4 linked regions of the Arabidopsis thaliana genome follow. The protein of the gene in region 3 interacts with the protein of the main gene of each other region in a pairwise test. Each region holds a gene or a part of one and is shown on either strand. Other genes may lie near its edges.

What was found.
Region 1: the proteins of CRK40 (region 3) and Cand3 interact in a protein complementation assay, tested with the Arabidopsis thaliana proteins (one large-scale study listed by BioGRID).
Region 2: the proteins of CRK40 (region 3) and AT3G27770 interact in a protein complementation assay, tested with the Arabidopsis thaliana proteins (one large-scale study listed by BioGRID).
Region 4: the proteins of CRK40 (region 3) and CLC-B interact in a protein complementation assay, tested with the Arabidopsis thaliana proteins (one large-scale study listed by BioGRID).

What each region holds. Positions count from the first base shown.
Region 1 is NC_003074.8:21,837,408-21,843,298, forward strand, and holds Cand3 (tobamovirus multiplication protein), read left to right. Parts: upstream 1-1,777; 5' UTR 1,778-1,926; coding exon 1,927-2,049; intron 2,050-2,527; coding exon of another isoform or gene 2,528-2,555; coding exon 2,556-2,606; exon of another isoform or gene 2,607-2,715; coding exon 2,716-2,749; intron 2,750-2,840; coding exon 2,841-2,927; intron 2,928-3,019; coding exon 3,020-3,071; intron 3,072-3,171; coding exon 3,172-3,355; intron 3,356-3,440; coding exon 3,441-3,536; intron 3,537-3,656; coding exon 3,657-3,717; intron 3,718-3,860; coding exon 3,861-3,925; intron 3,926-4,017; coding exon 4,018-4,092; intron 4,093-4,181; coding exon 4,182-4,257; intron 4,258-4,334; coding exon 4,335-4,510; intron 4,511-4,917; coding exon of another isoform or gene 4,918-4,941; exon of another isoform or gene 4,942-5,000; coding exon 5,001-5,042; 3' UTR 5,043-5,356; downstream 5,357-5,891. Other genes in the region: AT3G59080 (Eukaryotic aspartyl protease family protein), read left to right, coding at 1-1,012.
Region 2 is NC_003074.8:10,285,125-10,289,699, reverse strand, and holds AT3G27770 (plant/protein), read left to right. Parts: upstream 1-1,768; 5' UTR 1,769-2,032; intron 2,033-2,118; 5' UTR 2,119-2,225; coding exon 2,226-2,548; intron 2,549-2,640; coding exon 2,641-2,674; intron 2,675-2,761; coding exon 2,762-2,971; intron 2,972-3,085; coding exon 3,086-3,175; intron 3,176-3,303; coding exon 3,304-3,369; intron 3,370-3,459; coding exon 3,460-3,551; intron 3,552-3,633; coding exon 3,634-3,681; intron 3,682-3,797; coding exon 3,798-3,882; 3' UTR 3,883-4,043; downstream 4,044-4,575. Other genes in the region: MYB118 (myb domain protein 118), read left to right, coding at 340-933; EMB3123 (PPR containing protein), read right to left, coding at 4,212-4,575.
Region 3 is NC_003075.7:2,288,228-2,293,471, forward strand, and holds CRK40 (cysteine-rich RLK (RECEPTOR-like protein kinase) 40), read left to right. Parts: upstream 1-1,674; 5' UTR 1,675-1,817; coding exon 1,818-2,658; intron 2,659-2,820; coding exon 2,821-2,937; intron 2,938-3,007; coding exon 3,008-3,141; intron 3,142-3,228; coding exon 3,229-3,439; intron 3,440-3,518; coding exon 3,519-3,756; intron 3,757-3,853; coding exon 3,854-3,992; coding exon of another isoform or gene 3,993-4,028; exon of another isoform or gene 4,029-4,205; coding exon 4,206-4,490; 3' UTR 4,491-4,723; downstream 4,724-5,244.
Region 4 is NC_003074.8:10,021,999-10,027,718, reverse strand, and holds CLC-B (chloride channel B), read right to left. Parts: upstream 3,789-5,720; 5' UTR 3,573-3,788; coding exon 3,397-3,572; intron 3,317-3,396; coding exon 3,116-3,316; intron 3,012-3,115; coding exon 2,834-3,011; intron 2,752-2,833; coding exon 2,219-2,751; intron 2,149-2,218; coding exon 999-2,148; intron 903-998; coding exon 798-902; 3' UTR 557-797; downstream 1-556. Other genes in the region: AT3G27180 (S-adenosyl-L-methionine-dependent methyltransferases superfamily protein), read left to right, coding at 60-213, 287-366, 442-556. UniProt on the Arabidopsis thaliana protein: Voltage-gated chloride channel.

The sequences.
Region 1 (5,891 bases), on a different chromosome or scaffold from region 3:
GCCTTGCTACGACTGTTTCCAGCAAAACGGTGCGTTTTATGACCCTAAAGCCTCTGCTTCTTACAAGAACATAACTTGCAATGACCAAAGATGCAACCTAGTCTCATCACCTGACCCTCCAATGCCCTGCAAATCAGATAACCAATCATGCCCTTACTACTACTGGTATGGGGATAGCTCCAACACTACCGGAGATTTTGCAGTAGAGACTTTCACGGTTAACCTCACGACAAATGGAGGGAGCTCGGAGTTGTATAATGTTGAAAATATGATGTTCGGTTGCGGTCATTGGAACCGAGGTCTCTTCCATGGTGCTGCAGGCTTGCTTGGTTTAGGAAGAGGCCCGCTTTCGTTTTCCTCTCAGCTTCAGTCTCTTTATGGTCATTCCTTCTCTTATTGCCTTGTCGACAGAAACAGCGATACCAACGTTAGTAGCAAACTGATTTTCGGAGAAGACAAGGATTTGTTAAGTCACCCGAATCTGAACTTCACTTCTTTTGTCGCTGGGAAAGAAAACCTCGTCGACACATTTTACTACGTACAAATCAAATCCATTCTAGTCGCGGGAGAAGTTCTAAACATACCTGAAGAAACATGGAATATCTCATCAGATGGAGCTGGAGGGACGATCATTGATTCAGGTACAACCTTAAGTTACTTCGCAGAACCTGCATATGAATTCATCAAGAACAAGATTGCTGAGAAAGCTAAAGGGAAGTATCCGGTCTATAGAGATTTTCCAATCCTAGATCCTTGCTTCAACGTCTCTGGCATTCATAACGTTCAGCTGCCAGAGCTTGGGATTGCTTTTGCAGATGGCGCTGTTTGGAACTTCCCGACAGAGAATTCTTTCATATGGTTGAATGAGGATTTGGTTTGCTTGGCAATGCTAGGAACTCCCAAATCAGCATTTTCAATCATTGGAAACTACCAGCAGCAGAATTTTCATATACTCTATGATACAAAGAGGTCTAGGCTCGGGTATGCACCTACAAAGTGTGCAGATATATAATCTTTCTTGTCGATTTTTAAGTCCATCAAAGCAACTGAACACACAATAAGAACAGATTCATTTTTTTCCCTTTAGATTTTTTCATTCTTTAGGATATTCCTTCAAACATGTAATGTATTTGCTGTAGAACAAAGATCATACCAAACTAATGTACTTATTCAAATTCATTTCTGAATACAAAGTGATTTAATTTTGCTTGCTACATGCATTTTCTCAAACTCTATAGTCTACCATCAATGACAAGTAAATTTGTAGTCACTGGAATTGTCAAAGTTTGATTAGTAATCCCTGAATTGTTTGTGAGTTTAGGACTCACTTTGGTAAGGTTTTAAGGCAAAGGAGTTGTCAAATCATCGTCTTTGTTGATCCAATTTGAAAGAAATGCAGAAAATCTAGAGAAATTGGAAACTAAAGAAGCTTGAGTCTATTGCAGAACACAAACTATACAAAAGAAATCGGATTATGTACCTGAGCATGGTCGGAGAAGAGAGTTGCAGAAAAGAGGTGTCTCTGTTTTGCAAAAATAACTCGTTTAGTTCTGATTTTTACAAAAAACCCTCATTTTACATCTTCTAACAATAATTAATAATTAATTTTAGTTAAAGAGATATTGATTACTTAATAATTCTTTTAAGCCAAGAGTAATTAATTAATTAATTTATGGCAGTAATTGTTGTATATTCTAGTGTGCCGTACCACTTGTAGCAATTAAATTTAGTAGATAGTATATTGTGTTGTCCAGGAAATATATAAATATAAAAAATAATTTTTATTTTTGTCTCTCAGACCAGACCCAACCCATCTCCTACAACCATCTGTCTCGGTGGTGTTCTTTGATCCTCTCTCTCTTACAAACCTAAAATCTAGGCATTCGATCTCTTGGGGAGGATCGAGAAGAAAAGAGCGGATTCACGATGAAGATCTTAGCGACTCTTTTCGAATCAACCAAGGATAAATGCTATGCTCCTAGCTTCATCGCCGTCAATCTCTGTTTGGCTTTTATCGATGCCGCTCTTGCTTTCATCGCATTCCTTCAGGTTCTGATTCTTGGTTCTTCTGATTTCCTGAAAGAAAAAGAAAAAATCAGTCTTGATTTGTGAATGCTAGATTGTGTGTGACCGTTAAGGCCTGTTCGGACAGGTGAAGCATTGTGCTTATTGATTAAACGAGATGTGAGATTATTGATTCTTGATGTTGAATTTAATGAATTGGTTGATTTCAGTCTTTAGAGTTGTGTGTCTGTTGTTCATGTGGTTGACCATTAAGTTTAAAGGTCAACTCTATGAATAACTCACGGAGCTGAAGTGTGTTTGTGTAGAATGAGAGATTTGGATTCAGGGAATCTGAATATGATATGAATTATTAGCATTAGAAAGTAGAATCTTTTTTTCTTTTTTAAGTGCTATGTGTGTAGATTAAGATGTTCTTTTCAAAGGTTCCTATGTAGTTTTAGACGGTGAAGTAATAAAAAAAAAGTCTTATTCTCTTCTTTTTTTGTGGGGTTTGGCTTATAAGATTTATCTTGGCTGCCTACTTCTTTCAGTTATCTCGATTTCACAGGCGGAATAAACAAGTTGGATGGACTCGGCAAAAAGTATTTCTTCTCATCCCAACCAATTTAGGCTCTATGTTATTGTTATATGGTTACAGTTATTGTTACTTTTCATGGCGTGTATCTGACACATCCATCATGAAAATTGCAGGTACTTCATCTTATGATTGCTTCTTCAAACACTGGTAAATCCTCAGTCATTTGTTGTTCAGGAACAATTATAATTGGGGGAAGTTTTAGCCAGTGAGTAAGGTCTCTATTCGTATATATTGGCAGGTTCTGTTATTTATTTCGTGGCTGCGGTTATAGCGACTTGCACAAGGTGGCATCATTGGTCCAACGCATTAGGTTTTCTACTCATGGGTAAATATTTCATTCCTTTGTGAAGGTTTGTGTATGTTTTTCATTGATTTGTCTTATAGTTAATTCCCTGATGAATCAAATTGTACTTGCAGCCTTTCCCAAAATTCTGTTTCTGGCAACTTTTCTCCTGCTTCTCTCTTTCTGGTATGTATATTCTCAATACTCTGATCATATTGTGTTGTCCCTGATTATTTTATCTTAATAATGATCTGAGATAAGACAATGATGCTTCTTCATGTTATAGGGTAGATGTTTGCCATCAGGGAAATGGAGAGGAGGATGATGATGATGATGAAGAAAATAGCATCCAACAAGTGTTGCTTGAAAAAAGCAAGAGCAAGCCAGGTTCTTCGAATGCAAGTGATCGTAGAAAGTGTTGCTCTTTCCATGGTATTCATGTTGGAACCCGGCAGAAGTTTGTTGTTGCGGTATGGGATACTTTCAGTTTTGTGCATTAACCTCTAGCCAAGTCATTTCTATGATCTTTATAAAAATGTTTATCTTTTTTGCTAGGCAATTATTCTTGTGTTCATCTTAATGATATCATTTGCAATCCTTATCTGGATCGCTTCCGGAAAGAATCCTATGAATTCTTCATTATTGGCTGAGGTATGTGGTATTCCTCTGCACATTGATATTTCCTCTTTCACTAAGTTCTTAAGCTCGAGAAATAGAAGACTTTTGTCTATATTTTTTCTGGTTTTATGATAAACTCACTTCCTTATATAGGTGTATGTCGATATTTTTGCTGCAATAATCCTAATCACTGGAGGAGGAATCTGCTTCTATGGTAAGTGATTTCTTAAGTTCTTTTCTGGTTTCAGCTATTCATATTTTTCTTCTAGCAATTCGTGAGATGTTTTGGTCAGTGGTTTACTGGCTTATTGCTATGATTGAACAGCGTATATTCACAAACTCTTTTATGTTCTTTAGGCCTGCGTCTGCTCTTTAATCTAAGAAAGGTGCGGTCTGAACAAGTTTCATCAGAGATGCGAAAGGTAACTAATGATTCTTTGGCTCAACAAGCTTTTCTTTCTTTGCACATGTCAGTCGAATCCTTACCCTGAAAGTACATTTTAACCATTTATAGGTATCGGGTCTAGCAGGAGTCTCAGTTGTTTGCTTCACTGTTAGCTCTTTAATCGCTCTTCTCACACACATTCCAGTAAGTCATTATCACTCAAAAAAGTATGTCTGTAAACCGAAACCTAACATTCGTCGATACATTTAACCAAAACCAATCTTTGATCTCAGCTCTTTTATCATTGGAACCCAAGCAAATTACACGGCATCAAAGCATTGGTTCTTCTGATCATATACTATTTCATAGGTGAAGATTTTTTTCTTTCGTTTTGTTGTTTTGAAGACCTTCAAATGCAGGGTTACTGATAAGAACGCTTTTTAAAGGTTCCACCGTCCCATTGGCTTTCGTTTTATGGGTTTTGCGGGAGTTACCCCCTCAAAACATTGTGAGTAGGCAAGAAGACACCAGAAGGATTACTTATGTCAACTATGAAACTGTTCCAAGGCAACCTCAAGGTCCTCAACAAGACTGGGCCTCCGCCACAGTGTCGAAAAATCAGGTATACAATTCTCTTGATGAACATCTAAATTAGGAAGTCATGTCTGACACATACAAGGAGTTTTATAGTAAGCTGTAAATGCATGCATCAGATAAACTAGGGGTGGGAATATAAACCGAAGCAAACCACAATATTTATAGCTAACTAACTCTATTTAGATAAGAAAAACTCAAACCGTATGCTCACTTTTAAGATAAACGCAATGTTGAGAGCATTCGAGAAAGGTTTGAACGAATTGCGGTCTGAACATGAATACATAGTTGAAACACTACGAAAAATCCTCAAATGAGAAAGAAGTTTTCATTCTATTAGTGACTTCTGAGGTTATTTCAGAGTTTCCTTTTTATCGACCATAGATTGTTTAGGGAGGTCACTTAACAGTTTTTGGTTCGGAAACGACGGCGCAGGTGTCTAAAGCAAGTCCTATATGAACCAAACAATCATCATAATCATTGACCTGAAGCAAACATCCGCCAATCTTCTTTTGTAGTTACCGGGAAAAAGCCTCGTGGGATTGCAGAATGGTTCTTAGGCCCAATGTGGTGTGTTGTGGTGGAGTGAATGAAAGTGGAAACAAGCTCGTTTTCTTCTCTCTGAGTCGCCTTGGAATACAAAAATTTGTTTATAAGATAGAAATGGAGGTTTGAATCTGAGAAAGCTGTCTGTAAATATTAACTTTTGATTGCAATTTATAGTTTAGCATCATGTGTTGGGGGGACTTGTGGATGGATATAAAATGTGTTCCAAGGAAGATATAATTTTGTCTTCCTTTCTAAACAGCGTCGTTTAAGCTGCTTTGTTATCATTTACATATACGACGACGCATCATTCTGGTTTTAAAGATGGCATATTACGTTTGAGATTAAACGCCACCGTTTTCGAAAGATAGCACGGGCATTATACGATGTCGTATTGCTTCCTCTTTCGAAAATTTGTTAGCGCGATTTTGTTAAACTTTTAGCGCCATTTTTTTTCACATTAAAAATTTGAGACCCCGAAACGGTATCGTTTGTTGGATGTTATCCTAAAATTGACGGATCTGATATGAAAAAAAAAATCCTTAAAAAAACCGTTTGAGAACTTTTTGGATATTTGTGGTCTTCTCTTTTCGTCTTTCTTCTCCACTGTCACCTTCCTCGCTAAGCAAAAGAATTTAGAGAGAGCTTCGTACTATGCCCAGAGAAAAAAGCAAAAAGCGAGAGCCAAAAAGATAAGAAAGATCAAAAGATGAAAAAGCTTAGACGTAAAAAAGCAGAAATATATGTATATAGAATTAACAAGTCTCTCGAAGAAAACCCTTTAGCCATCTTTATCAATCTCTTTTCTTTTGCGTTCTCTATAAAGTTGGTATAAAAGGAGATCAATTAACAAATATGTTAAT
Region 2 (4,575 bases), on a different chromosome or scaffold from region 3:
ATTCATTACATGATACATTGAGAATCTTCTAAGAGAATATTAACAAACTTTTTTCACACTTGTCAACATGTATACGGTTTTATTTCATGCATGAATACTTTAAACTTTTGTTTGTATATACATATATGTCTATGACAATTCTTTAAGGCATTTTGTCTTCTTGTTGCGGACAAAACTTCACAATTGGTAAGACATTTAAACTAAAGTCATTGTCACTTGGATTCTCTCATATAATTCAACAAACATAAAAGAGAAAAAAACATATAAAAAATAAAAATATTTGTTTAATATTGTATGTATTATTTACATATAAAGCATATTTTATGTGGTATGTTACAGAAAGATGGATGGACTGAAGAAGAGGATATAATACTGATAAAAGCCCATAAGGAGATTGGGAACAGATGGGCTGAGATAGCTCGAAAACTCCCGGGACGCACTGAAAATACGATCAAGAACCATTGGAACGCGACTAAACGTCGACAACACTCGAGGAGGACTAAAGGAAAAGATGAAATTTCCCTTTCACTTGGTAGCAACACTCTTCAGAACTACATTAGGTCTGTTACCTACAATGATGATCCTTTCATGACCGCAAATGCAAACGCAAACATTGGTCCAAGAAACATGAGAGGTAAAGGTAAGAATGTAATGGTTGCGGTCTCGGAGTATGATGAGGGTGAATGTAAGTATATTGTGGATGGTGTGAATAACTTGGGTTTAGAAGATGGAAGGATCAAGATGCCGTCATTGGCGGCTATGTCGGCCTCCGGATCAGCGTCTACTTCTGGTTCTGCGTCTGGTTCTGGAAGTGGTGTGACCATGGAGATTGATGAGCCGATGACTGATAGCTGGATGGTGATGCATGGATGTGATGAAGTTATGATGAACGAGATTGCTTTGCTGGAGATGATTGCTCATGGTCGTCTTTAGACCGTGCAATATAAACAAGTCGAACTTGATTATATCTACCTATATAATTATGCTATTTATGAAATTATGTTTGTGCTTTTAATTGAAGAATTGGACATGTAATATATATTGTGGTTTAATTGAAGGTTTCTTTTGGACTAAACAAAAATTGAAGGTTTTCTTGCTTTATCAGATTTTTTTTTTGTTATTCTCTAATTTCATTTTAATTAAGAATCTATATATATTGTTAAATTTTCTGTTATACTATATGAATGGTAATTGCGTTTGCGGTTAGGAGAAGACGACCATTAGGTCCACAACAAGTACATTTAGTCACTAAAGAATAATTTTATATCGACTATGCTAAAGAAAAAAAGTACTAGTTGTTTACAAAATATCTGGTTAGTATGATGTAATATGGGATAATATGTGTATGGTCCGTTGTATTGTAATTTTCTGGAATTTGTTACCTTACCGTCATAATGACTATATGGTCCGTCGTATTGTAATACCAGAAATTTTAGGCAAAACACAAACAAAAAAAAACGTAATGAGAGTTTTGTATACATTATATTTTGGTTTTCCATTTGTTTTGTATATCACCATTCGAAAAGTCATACATAACTAAAAGAAAAATACATAAAACTTTTGGGATCTATATTCATTAATGATATTTTGACTAACTACATAGAAAATTGAGATCTTAACCAAATACAATAAACCATTACTTCTTATTCTTTTTGTGCAATTCCTCCAACAAAAAAAGAAAAAAAACTTAACAATTTTAGTCTTAACTACAAATAGTTAAAAATAATAATGGGCTTGTAGATATCTTTCCATTTATATGAGATTTGTGATTTAGGCCTATTTAAGTAAAATACACACGAAACCAAATCGACGTCGTTTGGCAACTAAGCGTTGGACAAACGGAGAAGGTCCCACCTGTCCTTGTCTCCACTCTGTGTTCTCCGATTCCAGTGGGCCTCTGACACCGCCATTGGATTGTTCTTCAGATTTATACATATCTCATATCTCATCACCTTCCAAGTTTCAATTTGACTTCTCCATCACACACAACAACAAGAACAAGGACAAGCTTCTACATTTCTCTTAACATAACGTAAGTATCAAGAATCAAAGCTACTTAATCTTAACACTAATATCTCTATATGTAAATCAATTAAGCTACTTTTAACTCCTCTGCAGAGACAGTTTTTGATCTGGGTTTTCAAGTCCGGTGTTGATCCCATTGAGTTTCGGATCTAAAAGATCCGAATATTCAGACGGATCAACAAGAGAACAAGAAAAAAAAAATGAATCTTGAGAATGTTTTGGAATTCACCAGCTTTGATTACTGGTTTAATTGGAGAGTGTTACTATGTGCTATATGGGTAATAGTTCCAATGATTGTTTCTTTATTAGTCTTATGGAAGTATGAAGATAGTTCAGTTCAAACTCAACCATCACTTAATGGTAATGATGTTTTGTGCATTGATGATGTTTGGAGACCTTGTTTTGAACGAATCCATCCGGGTTGGTTGTTGGGTTTTCGGGTTCTCGGGTTTTGTTTCCTTCTTGCTAACAATATTGCCCGGTTTGCTAATCGTGGATGGCGTATTTACTACTATTATACTCAGTAAGTTCTCTTTAAAGATCTCTGCTTTATTGTGTGGAAAGGGAATATCTTTGATGTTTTGAGACTGATATGATTGAGGTTTTGATTGGTAGGTGGACATTCACTTTGATAGCAATCTACTTCGGGGTATGTTTTGATTTTTGATGTTGTGAATATGTATATGGTTATAGTCAAGTTTGTTTGAATGTTTGTTGTCACTTGTGTGTTGTGTAGATGGGATCATTGCTTTCAATTTATGGATGTTTACAATACAAGAAGCAAGGGAACACTGGACTTATCGCTGATCAAGTAGGAATCGATGCAGAGAACGGGTTTCGTTCGCCTCTTATAGATGGTGACAACATGGTTTCGTTCGAGAAGAGAAAAACTTCTGGTTCGGAAGCACTAAAGTCATATGTTCATCTCTTCCAGATTATATATCAGGTAGACAGATTCCTTTGGTTATTATGATGTATAGTTTGCAACTTTCAGATTTCTTGTTTCATTAGTGTATATATGATCACTGATACTTGTGTGTTTTGGTTTGTTGAAAAACAGATGGGTGCTGGAGCAGCTGTGCTTACAGACAGTATATATTGGACCGTGATTTTCCCGTTTCTGTCTTTACAGGACTATGAGATGAGTTTCGTAAGTTTTCGCGCCATTTACCGTATATTAGTTAAAGCTTGTACACTGCTGATGGCACTTTCTACGTTGCACTTGACCCTCTTGAACTTAGTCTCAACTTCTCTAGTGTCAAAATTCTGTGTTTTCAGATGACTGTGAATTTGCACACAAGCAACCTCGTTTTGCTGCTTATTGACACGTTTCTAAACCGTCTGGTAAAACAATTCTTTCCTCTGCATTTACGACGAGTTTTCGTTTTCATTAATGTGTTGAACCTGAGGTCTTTTTGTGATGTTGCTTTGCAGAAATTTCCATTGTTCAGGTTCTCTTACTTCATCTTATGGACAGGATGTTTCGTTCTTTTCCAGTGGATTCTCCACATGTTTATCTCCGTTGGGTAAAACTCTTCTCTGTCATCTTTTGTATGTTACACTTACCGTCTTGATTAATCTTACACTTGTATTCCTCGATTGACTTAGGTGGCCATATCCATTTCTCAACCTGTCATTAGACATGGCTCCAGTGTGGTAAGCCTTGAAAACATTTACATACTAGACACTAGTCAGGATTGGTTTATATCATAATGTTTCATTCCTTAGAATGATTACGCCTATCCTTAATATTTTAATTCATGCATCTGCAGGTATTTGTTGGTGGCACTCCTGCATCTTCCTTCTTATGGCCTCTTTGCATTAATCGTCAAAATCAAATACAAACTCATTTCTTGAAGTCATTTCGAATCCAAGAGTTTCTGCCCCGTAAGAGTCAGTGCTCAAGGGTTACAACAATCAAAGAAACAATTTTTTACCCCATATGTCTAAAATCTTCAAAACAGATCATTGTAAACGCCACAACATTTCAATGCATAAACTATTTACTTCCGATCCAATTCGCATATCGCAATGAACCATTTCGTAAATTTTTCGCTACCCGAATTGATTTCAGCTCGAACCAAATCGAAAGAACTAACCATAGCAACAGAATATAGTGCAATCTTTGCCAAAAGTGTATGAACTTAATCAAAAACCGAACCAAACCAAACCGAAAACCCGAAAATTCAAGGTTTTAGAATTGAAGATTTGAGTGAGACTTGAGAAGCCAAGTCTGGCTCTCCTAGTCTCAAGAGACCCTTACTCAAAACCTCAGCGACATACTCATCAGCCTCCCATGACTCAGACCCCCAACCACTTTCCCTCATCAAGGTATAAACCCTAACCACCGACTCTCTCCTCTCAGCTCCAACCACAGCCCTAATCAACTTAGCTAAAGCCTTATCATCACTTCTTTGATCAATTCCATCAATTTCACCAATAAGACGATCTATCTCATCGAACTCTTTATTCCTCGTAAGAGCATTAACAATGTCTGCGTATAGAACAAGGTCAAGAGGAGGATACTCTGTACGGAGAGTGGAGAGTACA
Region 3 (5,244 bases):
CACTGCTTCAGGGCTATGATCTCCTTCTGCGGGTGGTTTTGGAACTCCTTCGTCAACAATTTCCCACAGTTTCTTTGTCTGGAAAATTGTTTTCATCTTGATGCGCCAAAAACCATAATTCTCTTTGTTGAAGATTGGAGTCACAATGTGTGACACCATCTCCATAACTCTCTCGTGTTTATTAAACTCTTTACTTGAAATGTTTGGCCCTTGAATCAGTAGGGCTCTGATACCATGTTGGAAATTGAAGCCTCTTGTTACAAAGAAAAAACAAGTGTTTACTTGTTGTTCTGTTTCTTATGAGATACACAAAGCAAAAGAGAAACTGACTTTTATTGAATGGAGAACTTGTTCGTTTCATCACGATACAAAAAGTTTAAATAGAAAACAAATAGACACAATAAGTAAAGAGTTGTGTCTCTTTCTCTCTAAGATAAACGACACAACCTAATCTAAAAGTCACGACTCTAACAAACACCTTTTAATACAACATAATTATAACTTATAGACCAAACTCAATTATAAACTAACAGATTTGATGCAGCTTCCTAATTTCCAACAGCTCCATGATGTTTATCAGCTCGTTGTTGTCAGAATCTGCATCTTCATAAATTTATAATAAATATAAATATATAATGTATAACTGTATGTAGAACCGTATATTGTGGATCCGTGAATTGGTGGAAGAGTTGCTATTGCGGAATCGTCCAAGAAGCTATTCATAAAATCAATCACGAAAGAAAAAGAATTTGTTTTGCTATTATCTCTATATTGTGGGTAGCCATTTTTGGAATCTTTGAAAAATCAACCAATACGCATTTTCTCTCAGTTTGGAAGTTAACAAAGACGCGTTTTTTCAAGGTTTTGTGGGGACTGGGGACCAAAAGTTCTTAATATGGGTTAACGTCTCACAGGTAATACCAAACATTTCATTTATTTGTGTTTTTCTATCACTATCTTTTCCACATTTTAGTATTTTACTATTACATATAATTTTTGACTAAGAAGTTGATTGTGAATGAGTCTGTACATCTTCCTAGAAATGATTATAAGTATATTATTTAATTTGTTACTCCCTCTATTGTCATTTATTTGTAGTTTAAGTTTCAAGGTTTTGGCACAAATGAAATTATTTCGTTTTTTATTATTATCTTTTAATATAGTTAATTATCTATTTAAAAACAATTCAACAAATTGAAAAAAAAGTTTTGTAGAATTTCTAAGAGTCAAAAATAATAAAATTTCCATTAAAAATTGAAAACAACAAATAAAATGAAACTATTTGTTTTTGCTTAAACAACACTTCTTAAAAAACAGAGGAACCATTGTAAAATAGATTTTTCCCAACACAAATCGAAAACGTAACTTATATAATCTCTATATTTTTAGTAATTCAGCGACTTATCATTTCATTGTTAACTATTTTTCACTGACATGTTTCTCGTTATATAAAAGTCTCTGTTTATGTCAATGGTCGTATGTGAATGGTTCATGTATTATGCAAAACTGTTTATGATAATATTGCCGGGGAAAAAAAACTGCCATGTTTCATTTTTTTACTAGTTATTACATTTGATTATTATCAACCAACTTACCATTGAAAGATAACTTGTGATTATTATTTACAGTAACGAAGAAAATTAGGCCATATTTTGTTTTCTTTTTGGAACCTTTCAAATGTCAAAGCTGGTAGGCTATATAAATATAAACAAAGCTCAAAAATTTATTACTATACTTAACAGTAACGAAGTAGACTACTTCAAGTAGTACATCAAAAAAAAAAAAACCAAAGAAGTTGTTATCTTTAACAAACAAAAATGGGAAAATGCTCTGCTTTGATGATATTCCTCTCTTCTTCTCTTCTACTTGTCCTTCAAACACTCCATGTTGTTAACGCGGTCAAATGTTTCGGAAACTCCTTCAACGGTAACAGCAGCACCTTCGCTCAGAATCGCCAGAAACTGTTCCCTACTCTTGCTGACAAAGTCATCATCAACGACGGATTCTACAACGCTTCACTCGGCCAAGATCCCGACAAAGTTTACGCTCTTGTCAGCTGCGCAAGAGGCTACGACCAAGACGCTTGTTACAATTGTGTCCAATCATTGACTCAGAACACACTAACAGATTGTCGAAGCCGTAGGGATTCGTTCATATGGGGAGGCAATGACGATGTAACTTGTCTTGTACGTTCCTCAAACCAGTCTACTTTTGGGAGCGTCCAGCTTAAACCTCCTGTTGTATGGCCAAGTCCAGATACTATAGAGTCATCTAAAAACATAACCCTTTTCAAACAACAGTGGGAAGAAATGGTTAATCGGACCCTAGAGGCTGCCACGAAAGCTGAAGGTTCCTCGGTGCTTAAGTACTATAAGGCCGAAAAAGCGGGTTTCACCGAGTTTCCAGATGTTTACATGCTGATGCAATGCACACCCGACTTAAGTTCACGAGATTGCAAGCAATGTTTGGGAGATTGCGTGATGTACTTTAGAAAAGACTATATGGGAAGAAAAGGAGGCATGGCTAGTCTTCCAAGCTGTTATTTCAGGTGGGATCTATATTCTTTCCATAATGCTTTTGATAATGTAACAAGAGTTCCTGCGCCTCCTCCTCGACCTCATGCTCAGGAAAAGGAGAGCTGCATAACAGTAAAAAAAGGTAACACAAATTATTTTAGCTTTCATTTAGAGCTCAAAAGAGCCAATTTTGAGGAATATTGTTTACATAAGTGACATGAAGCGGTTTGGTATGAACTTTTCGTGCCAAATTGTTATTATGATTAAGAGGTTAATTCTTAGACAAAGGGTTGGTAATTTGCAGGGAAAAGCATTGGGTATGGCGGAATTATCGCAATAGTTGTGGTGTTTACTTTCATTAATCTTTTGGTGTTTATTGGCTTTATCAAAGTCTATGCACGGAGGGGAAAATTAAATAATGGTAAGTGTAACTTGCTTCAATCAAGCTTATGATGTAGAGAGTAAGGCTTATGGATTTTTTGTTTTTTTAGTTGGTAGTGCAGAATACTCTGATTCTGATGGTCAATTCATGTTACGGTTTGATCTTGGTATGATCGTAATGGCAACTGATGACTTCTCCTCTGAAAATACGCTTGGCCAAGGTGGATTTGGTACGGTTTATAAGGTAATAATAAACTTTTTCCTTAATGATGAGTTCTTGATCAACATTGGTCTTTTATGAGTAAATAGATATCTTGAGAATGGGTTTCAGGGGACATTCCCAAACGGGCAAGAGGTAGCGGTCAAGAGACTAACAAAAGGATCAGGACAAGGAGATATGGAGTTTAAGAATGAGGTTTCACTCTTGACAAGACTCCAACATAAGAATCTTGTTAAGCTTCTTGGGTTCTGTAATGAGGGAGATGAAGAGATTCTTGTCTACGAGTTTGTCCCCAACTCAAGTCTTGATCACTTTATCTTTGGTGAGCCTTCGAAAGACAGCTGCCAAGTTGGATAGATTTAGAACTTTTAGCAAACTAAATGTTTCTTTGAACTCTGCAGATGAAGATAAGCGTTCTCTTCTTACATGGGAGGTGAGGTTCAGAATTATAGAAGGCATTGCTCGAGGTCTTCTCTATCTCCATGAAGATTCTCAGCTGAAGATTATTCACAGAGACTTGAAGGCAAGCAACATACTTTTAGACGCTGAGATGAACCCTAAAGTTGCGGATTTCGGGACTGCGAGGTTGTTCGACTCCGACGAGACTCGAGCTGAAACAAAAAGAATAGCTGGAACCCGGTAAGAAATATATCAATCAAATTTGATGACACATTTCAAATGCTCTGTTTTGAAAACAGAGTCCATGAATTAATGCTATTGGTTTGCATATATGCAGTGGATATATGGCTCCTGAGTACTTGAATCATGGACAAATCTCAGCTAAATCTGACGTTTATAGCTTCGGTGTTATGCTTCTAGAGATGATTAGTGGTGAAAGAAACAATAGCTTCGAAGGAGAAGGACTTGCAGCTTTTGTAAGCTTCTTCACAATTTTTTTTTTTTTTGAATAGCTGGAGGTTTTGGGCCGAAGCCCGTAATCCCCCCAGGACCGAAACCACAGCATGTAATATTAGTTTCGTTCCAAGCGTTACTCGAACCGGCGACCTTAAGCTTCTTCACATATCAGTTTTTGTTTTTCTATCTTCAAAACTTTATCCCGAAAGTAAGAACTTATGTTTTTGGTGTAGGCATGGAAAAGATGGGTTGAAGGAAAGCCTGAGATTATAATTGATCCGTTCTTAATAGAGAATCCAAGAAATGAGATCATCAAGTTGATCCAAATTGGTTTGTTGTGTGTTCAAGAGAATTCAACAAAGAGACCAACCATGAGCTCTGTAATAATTTGGCTTGGCAGTGAGACTATCATCATTCCTTTACCTAAAGCTCCTGCTTTCACTTGGATTCGATCCCAATCTGAAAGTGGTGCAATGTCATTGAGCGACGATGTCTTCACGGAGTTGAGTTGTCGTTGAGATATACATCAGTTAATCAAAATATTTGAATATTTTTTAATATCAAACTCCATTAATCTGCAAATTTGTTAGTAAATCGCATAATCTTGGATTCGAACTTTAGACTTCTTTGGTGTAAAGGCTTTATTAACTCTTGATTAACCTTTGGGCCAAGAGGGTTTTCGCGTCCAGTTTTGTTTTAAAACTATTTTCACCAATATTAATTAATATTATAGAGGTAAGAAATAAATAAACTTAAAATGTTGCACATATAAATATGATTTAATAATAACTGAAATATCTTATAAATCTCAATTAGGAGAAGATAATAAATCTTTTCTTAACAATCAGATAAAATATCAGTTCTTAATTTCAGTTACTTTATTCTGATATATCTTACTCTAAATAGAATTATAAAGAAGTTTTTTTCTTTCTTTTTGTTAAAACAAATATTATAATATAACAATTGTTTTTAAGTATTTTCACATTAATTCCCAAAACAAAATATATCACGTACCTAATATAGTTCTCCCTAATATATTTCTTCTAAATGACCAATAAATTTCAAAGTTGATTTTAATTTTACATGACCAATAGAGTGAGGATAAAAAATCTTTTCTGACCAATCAAATTCCTGATTTTAGCCACTCTACTTGATTCTTATCTTAGTATGAACATATATATAAGGAAGTTTTTTTTTTGTTGTTGAAAATATAATATAAGGAATTTTCCTTGATATTTTCAGAATTCCCAAATAAGAGTATATCTATGTACC
Region 4 (5,720 bases), on a different chromosome or scaffold from region 3:
CTATCATTAAAACTCAAAAGCCAGTTCTTTATGGATATGTTACTTTTCTCTTCTTTCAGTTCAAGCTTGAACGCAAAAGAGGAGAAGAGGCCGTGGATTTTAAGAGCAAAGGAACTTTCAATTCAAGCTGGCAACAAGCAGACCTCTGAGGAGAACAATACACTACCGCAAAGACTCATATATATAAGCTGTGGTTGGGAAAGCTTTAAAGAGGTACTAGAGACAAACACTGGTATCAAACAATGCTGCCGCTTTCGTTCATTCTAACTTTGAAACAATGGCTTAGGACTGCAAGTCGTTATTATCTAGCAGAGCGTGGGAGTTGGAAAAAGCCCATGGCTTCAACTTCTTTCCCGGAACCGACAGGTATTATAGAAACATTTACTTCCATTTTATACTGCACAAATATTATTCATGCTTATTTTACAATTTGGTTTTCAGCATTGAAGTTTTGGCCGTATTCAAAAGAAGGGTTGCGAGCAAGAAAAAGAAGAAATCGGGAATAAAAAAAGTGGGAATTAAGAAAGTGCGTGCTAAGTCACAGGACTCTTATTAGTTAATGTCTGTAACACTTGAACTTCAGAGGTTTAGGAGACCATCTAATAGATGGAAACAGTTTTGCTCTGTTCCTGTTGATAAGGAGATATGAGTCTCTCTTTTTGTGTCATTGCAATATTTATCTTATCAACTTCTGTTGGATATGAAGAAAAAGTGCAAAACTGGACAGATACATCTTTAAGAATGAGAAGAAAAACACAAGGCTGCAAGCGATTTCTTACAACAAGCAAGTAGCTCTTTCAATGTGTCTTTCCACCTTTGGATTTTTCCAAGAGAGGAAAGGCTTGTAGAATGTTGTATGCCCTTAGGTCCTGTCTGGTTAAGATCCCTACCACAGGACACATCTGCAAAAAAATTGATTCGCATTGGAAGGAAGTTAGTGTTGTTTAGAGGCTTTAGCAAGAATGGGAGTAAAAGAGAGTTAAGGCATATAAACTCACTCCTGAGGCTTGAATCTTGGGAACAATAAGCAAATGCCGGAGTCCCACTTGCCGGAAAAGTACTAAAGCCTTGGCCACTGACATGTTCTCCATGACTGTGTAAGGTGTTGTGTTGGTGAGAGGATGAAGATCGACATACATTTCCATTTCAGCGCTTGTGATGGCCACGTCGTCAAAGTTGTCTTCTCTTTCAGCCAATTCATCCCATGGAAACTTTTCTCTGACCTCCCACTCCTCTGTTCTTCTTTTCTCTGTCAAGAACCATCTCTTTTTCAGAACTTTAACGAGGTGCGCTCTCAAGATCAACCCGTGGAGTTCTGTAGCCCCAGTTGCTAGACCCACTTGAGGTACTTCTGCTTCATCTAAAACAGGGAATGCATTATGCGTCGTGTTCTTTAGCACATCAACTATATTTGAAACCTTTTCAACACCTTGCAGGGTTACAACCGGGGGCTTAGCATCACCAAGCTCACCAACGGTGAGGTTCCTCATCCACGGCTCTGGATTTGCTTCTAAGAAAGGTAAGCCCTTTAGATGCAAGATGATGTCATATATACTCGGGTTAAAGCTGTCTCCCACAGTTTTGGCTATCAGAAGCACGATCATCGTTATAGGAAGCAAAAGAAGGTTGTTGGTGAGTTCAAGGAATATAACACAGAGTGACACAGTCATTCTCATCGATCCAGCCATGAGTGCAGCTGCACCAAGGACAGCATAAAGCCCTTGGTCAATACTTGTGTATGATCCCATTGCAGCGCCAAGCATTCGGCCATATGCAGCACCCATGAGGATGATGGGGAGGAAGAGACCAGACGGTGTTGCAATACCAAATGTGAAAAGCCCCAAGATGCAGTATAGCACAAAGAATATCCAAAGGGAACCCATACCAAACTCATTGGGAGTGTTGGAAGAGAAAAGGTTTCTGACAGCATCATCGTTGGTGGTGAGAAGCAGAGTAGCTAGATCATTGTAGTAACCTTTAGGGCAATGGAACTGTTTGAAGTTACCCGATCTTCCATTCGTCGGGCATATCTCATCTATCGAGGGGTCACAAGGCTTGCATTTCGCTAAGAAAGGAAGGCCATAAAGGCAAACAGATGTAAAGAGTGATACTGTAAGACTGAGAAGCACCTTATGGATCTTACCCTTCCTGCAAAATGACCAAACAAAGTAAGTAACTAGCTTAACGGGTTTTGACTCATTGAATAGCTAACACTTACTCATTGATGAGATTGTAAAGCCTGAGAACTTTATGCAGAAGATGATTGTACAGGCTCCCAAGAATTCCACCGATTACACCAATCAACATGACAGGGATTATATCAGTTACATGGTAAGTATAAGTTACATGACTCACATCAAACATGATTAGCCCTCCTTTTCCAAACAACCCACACTTCCCTGAATTGCAGATCTCTATGAACTCTCTTAGAACAACCACAACAACCGCTGTGCTGAAGAAAGTCCGCCACAATAAGGCACTTCTCCACCAAGTAGCAACTTCCTCGAGGGCGAAAAGTACACCTCCAACAGGTGACCTGAAGGCTGCACACACTCCTGCAGCTGAGCCACATGTAATCAGATCCCTGCGGTCTCTATCGTTGTTGAAGTAACGAAGCCACCGCCACTTGATACGGTGGTTGTCTGTTCCACCTTGTCCAAGCAAAGAAGCTATGCAGCTTCCAATGTGAACTAGAGGACCCTCTTTACCTAGATCAAGTCCAGCTGCAACCGCTCCAATGCTTCCAACAATCTATCAAACCCCGCTAAACCGTGAGTCAAAATTCAAATTCATACATACTAATCATTACAAATCTCCAAATTCAGAAACAAACCTTAACGATCATAGTAGTAGCACCAAACATGTTGGGAGTATCTACACCATTAAGATAAGCTTTGATCTCAGGGATTCCAGGTCCAGCCGCCGTAGGAGCAAAGCACACACAAAGCACAGACGCCACCAACGTCAGTCCCAAATTCGCCCCAACAAGCACCATCAGACCTGTAACATATCTGTTTCCACCACAAGACACTCTCATCCATCAATCATCATACACTAAAAATAAAAGGTAACAAAAACTTTTTGATCTTGAATATTTTTGATAGTGATGATTTACCTTTCTTGAGTGAGGAAGTGACCAACGGCTAAAAGCTTATAGCCGGCGATGTTTTCAACAGCTAAGTTGATGAGAGTAGCGATTAAACCAGTGAAAAGACCAACAAGACAAGCTAACGTCCATTTCAAGAACACGTATTGAAGTACTTGTGCCTTTGATCTTTTTCTCCAATCATGCTTAAACAGATCGTTCTCGTTTATTCTGTCAATATTTAGATTAAAGATTAAAAGAAGACCCCTGAATTCAAAATTATGCAGAGAAGAAGAAGAAGAAGAACATACTCATAGTCCAAGCTTTCGATATGGGAAACTTTGGCACCAACCAAAGCAAGTGGAGTTGAAGAAAGTGTTCGATTAGCCTTAACTAGAGGTTGGTTAAGTGTGTTGCTCTCTGGGTCGCCTCCTTCTCCATTGTAATTACTATTACCACCAATCTGGTTTAAATCTTCTTCCACCATCTCTCTGTCTTTGTTCACATAAAGATGAAACTCTGGCTTTTGGTCGGAACCTCTGCAACAGAACCTTTTTAAGGTTCTTACAGAGCTTTCTCTGTTAACAAAGCACTTCTTGGTGGTTGGTTATTTCTTTAAAAAATTATTATAATTATTTCATGCAAATTGGTTTGCCGACTTTTGTTTTTTATTTAATTTTCTTTTATAAGTTGTAAATGTCTACATATTTATATACGTATCTATATTTGTGTATATGAATAGTGTCTAATTTTGGCGAGACGACGCTTATGCTTGTGAGAGGGTAACAGACAGAAAACTATGTAATCCATACATATGCTAAACTACAAGACGAGACAATGATTGACCATTTTAATATTATGTGTACAATAAATAACAACCAAAGGTTCTAATCAAATTGCGAATTTTTTATTATAAATAAAAATTGTGAATTTGTATTTGTATAACGTAGGGATAAGATTTTTCTATGTGGCCTTGTATAGTGATTCATTTGTTTGATATAGGAGGCCGAGTAAACTATCGGATTTGTTTGAAAGTAGAACTATTAAAATCTAGGTTTAAAATGTCTTATAGCGATACGGTTTCATATTGTTGCGTCCTAGCTAATGGTCTAAATTGATACCAAAAAAGACTTATAGTTTTGTACATATCATCAAGAAAATCAAATAACAAGAAAACAATATAATCATCCAGTTGGTGTTGTTTTGGTTGAAATTGACAAATGTCGCTCAGTGGATTGAAGGTTAGTTCCAACTCAGCCCTTACATTGGACAGATCAGCAGTACTTTTCAATACGCCGTATCTTCTGGAGATCTAAGACCATCCCCATTGTATAAAAATAACAGTGTCTTTAATTTTTTTTTTAAAAAAAAAAAAAAAAATGGTACAGTGGGAGACCATCCCTATTGCATAAAAAAATAACAGTGTCTTTAAATTTTTAAAAGAAAAAGAAAAAAAAAAAAGAAAATGGTACAGTGGGAGACCTGTGTCTTTCATATCTCTATAGAGACATTTTTGTATCTTTAAAGACATCATACAGAACTAATAAATGACTCAAAATTAGAATAATATTAATTTTTATAATAATTATTGTAAAGACATTTCTAGAGAATCACCAATGTGGATGCTCTAATGGTCACAATCACAAAAACTCCAACTCTTGAAGTGATCAAACAAACACTTTTATACAACTTGTTCTTCTATAATCTTTTGAAGTTTGCAAATCTTTAGTTTATACGAGAATTTTTGTTTCCAAGAGAGTAATCGTAATATTGAGAACTTAATCATTGCATGCATATACATTATATAAACCATAAAAGAGATACAAAGTTATTGTCATATAGAAAAACAACAACACAAAGGAAAACGATGTATGTGAAAACTAGGACCATGAGATTGGTTCACGTAAGAAGCCAATAATATAAACACGTGGTAAGTACCTCACCACGTGATTAATAGGAAGAAAGAGTCTATTGAACGGCGATCTTGTCCCTCTCTCTCTCTCTCTCTGGTCCCAGGAATACTTGTCCTATCGAAGACCAGATCTGATCCAATTGGTTGTCTTTGTATCCGACACGTGTCCCCTCGTGGTTCATATGATTTTAAAACAATTAATATTGAAAATTTTATATTAGAGATTTACCAAATGGTAGAACTAGAAACTGTGAAAACAAACAAGAGCGCTATGTGGCCTATTTTTATTATTTTGCAGTAAACCTGAAACATTCTGTTAATATATAAAACTATTATTAAAGTGTCTTTACTTTTTTTCTATAATTTTTTTTTAATTGACATTGTATTTTGGACGACGGAAAACTGACTAATTTGTGTTTCGTATTTACATACGCTTTATTTCTAATAAATTACATTGGAGGAGTAAATAATAACAAATAACACATCAATAGGGAAGAAAATGGAGATATATGTATATATCATCAAATTAACATCTAAATTATATATATAGCTCACTATCACGATGTGTTTCGTATTTACGTACGCTTTATTTATATGGTATTTTACAAGAAAAACAATTTTAGAAACTTTCGTGAAATGTGTACGCAAAAGCAAATAATTTGGATAAGAATAAGATTATTAATATGTGGGAGAGTAATACGATGATAAACAATGAATACGAAG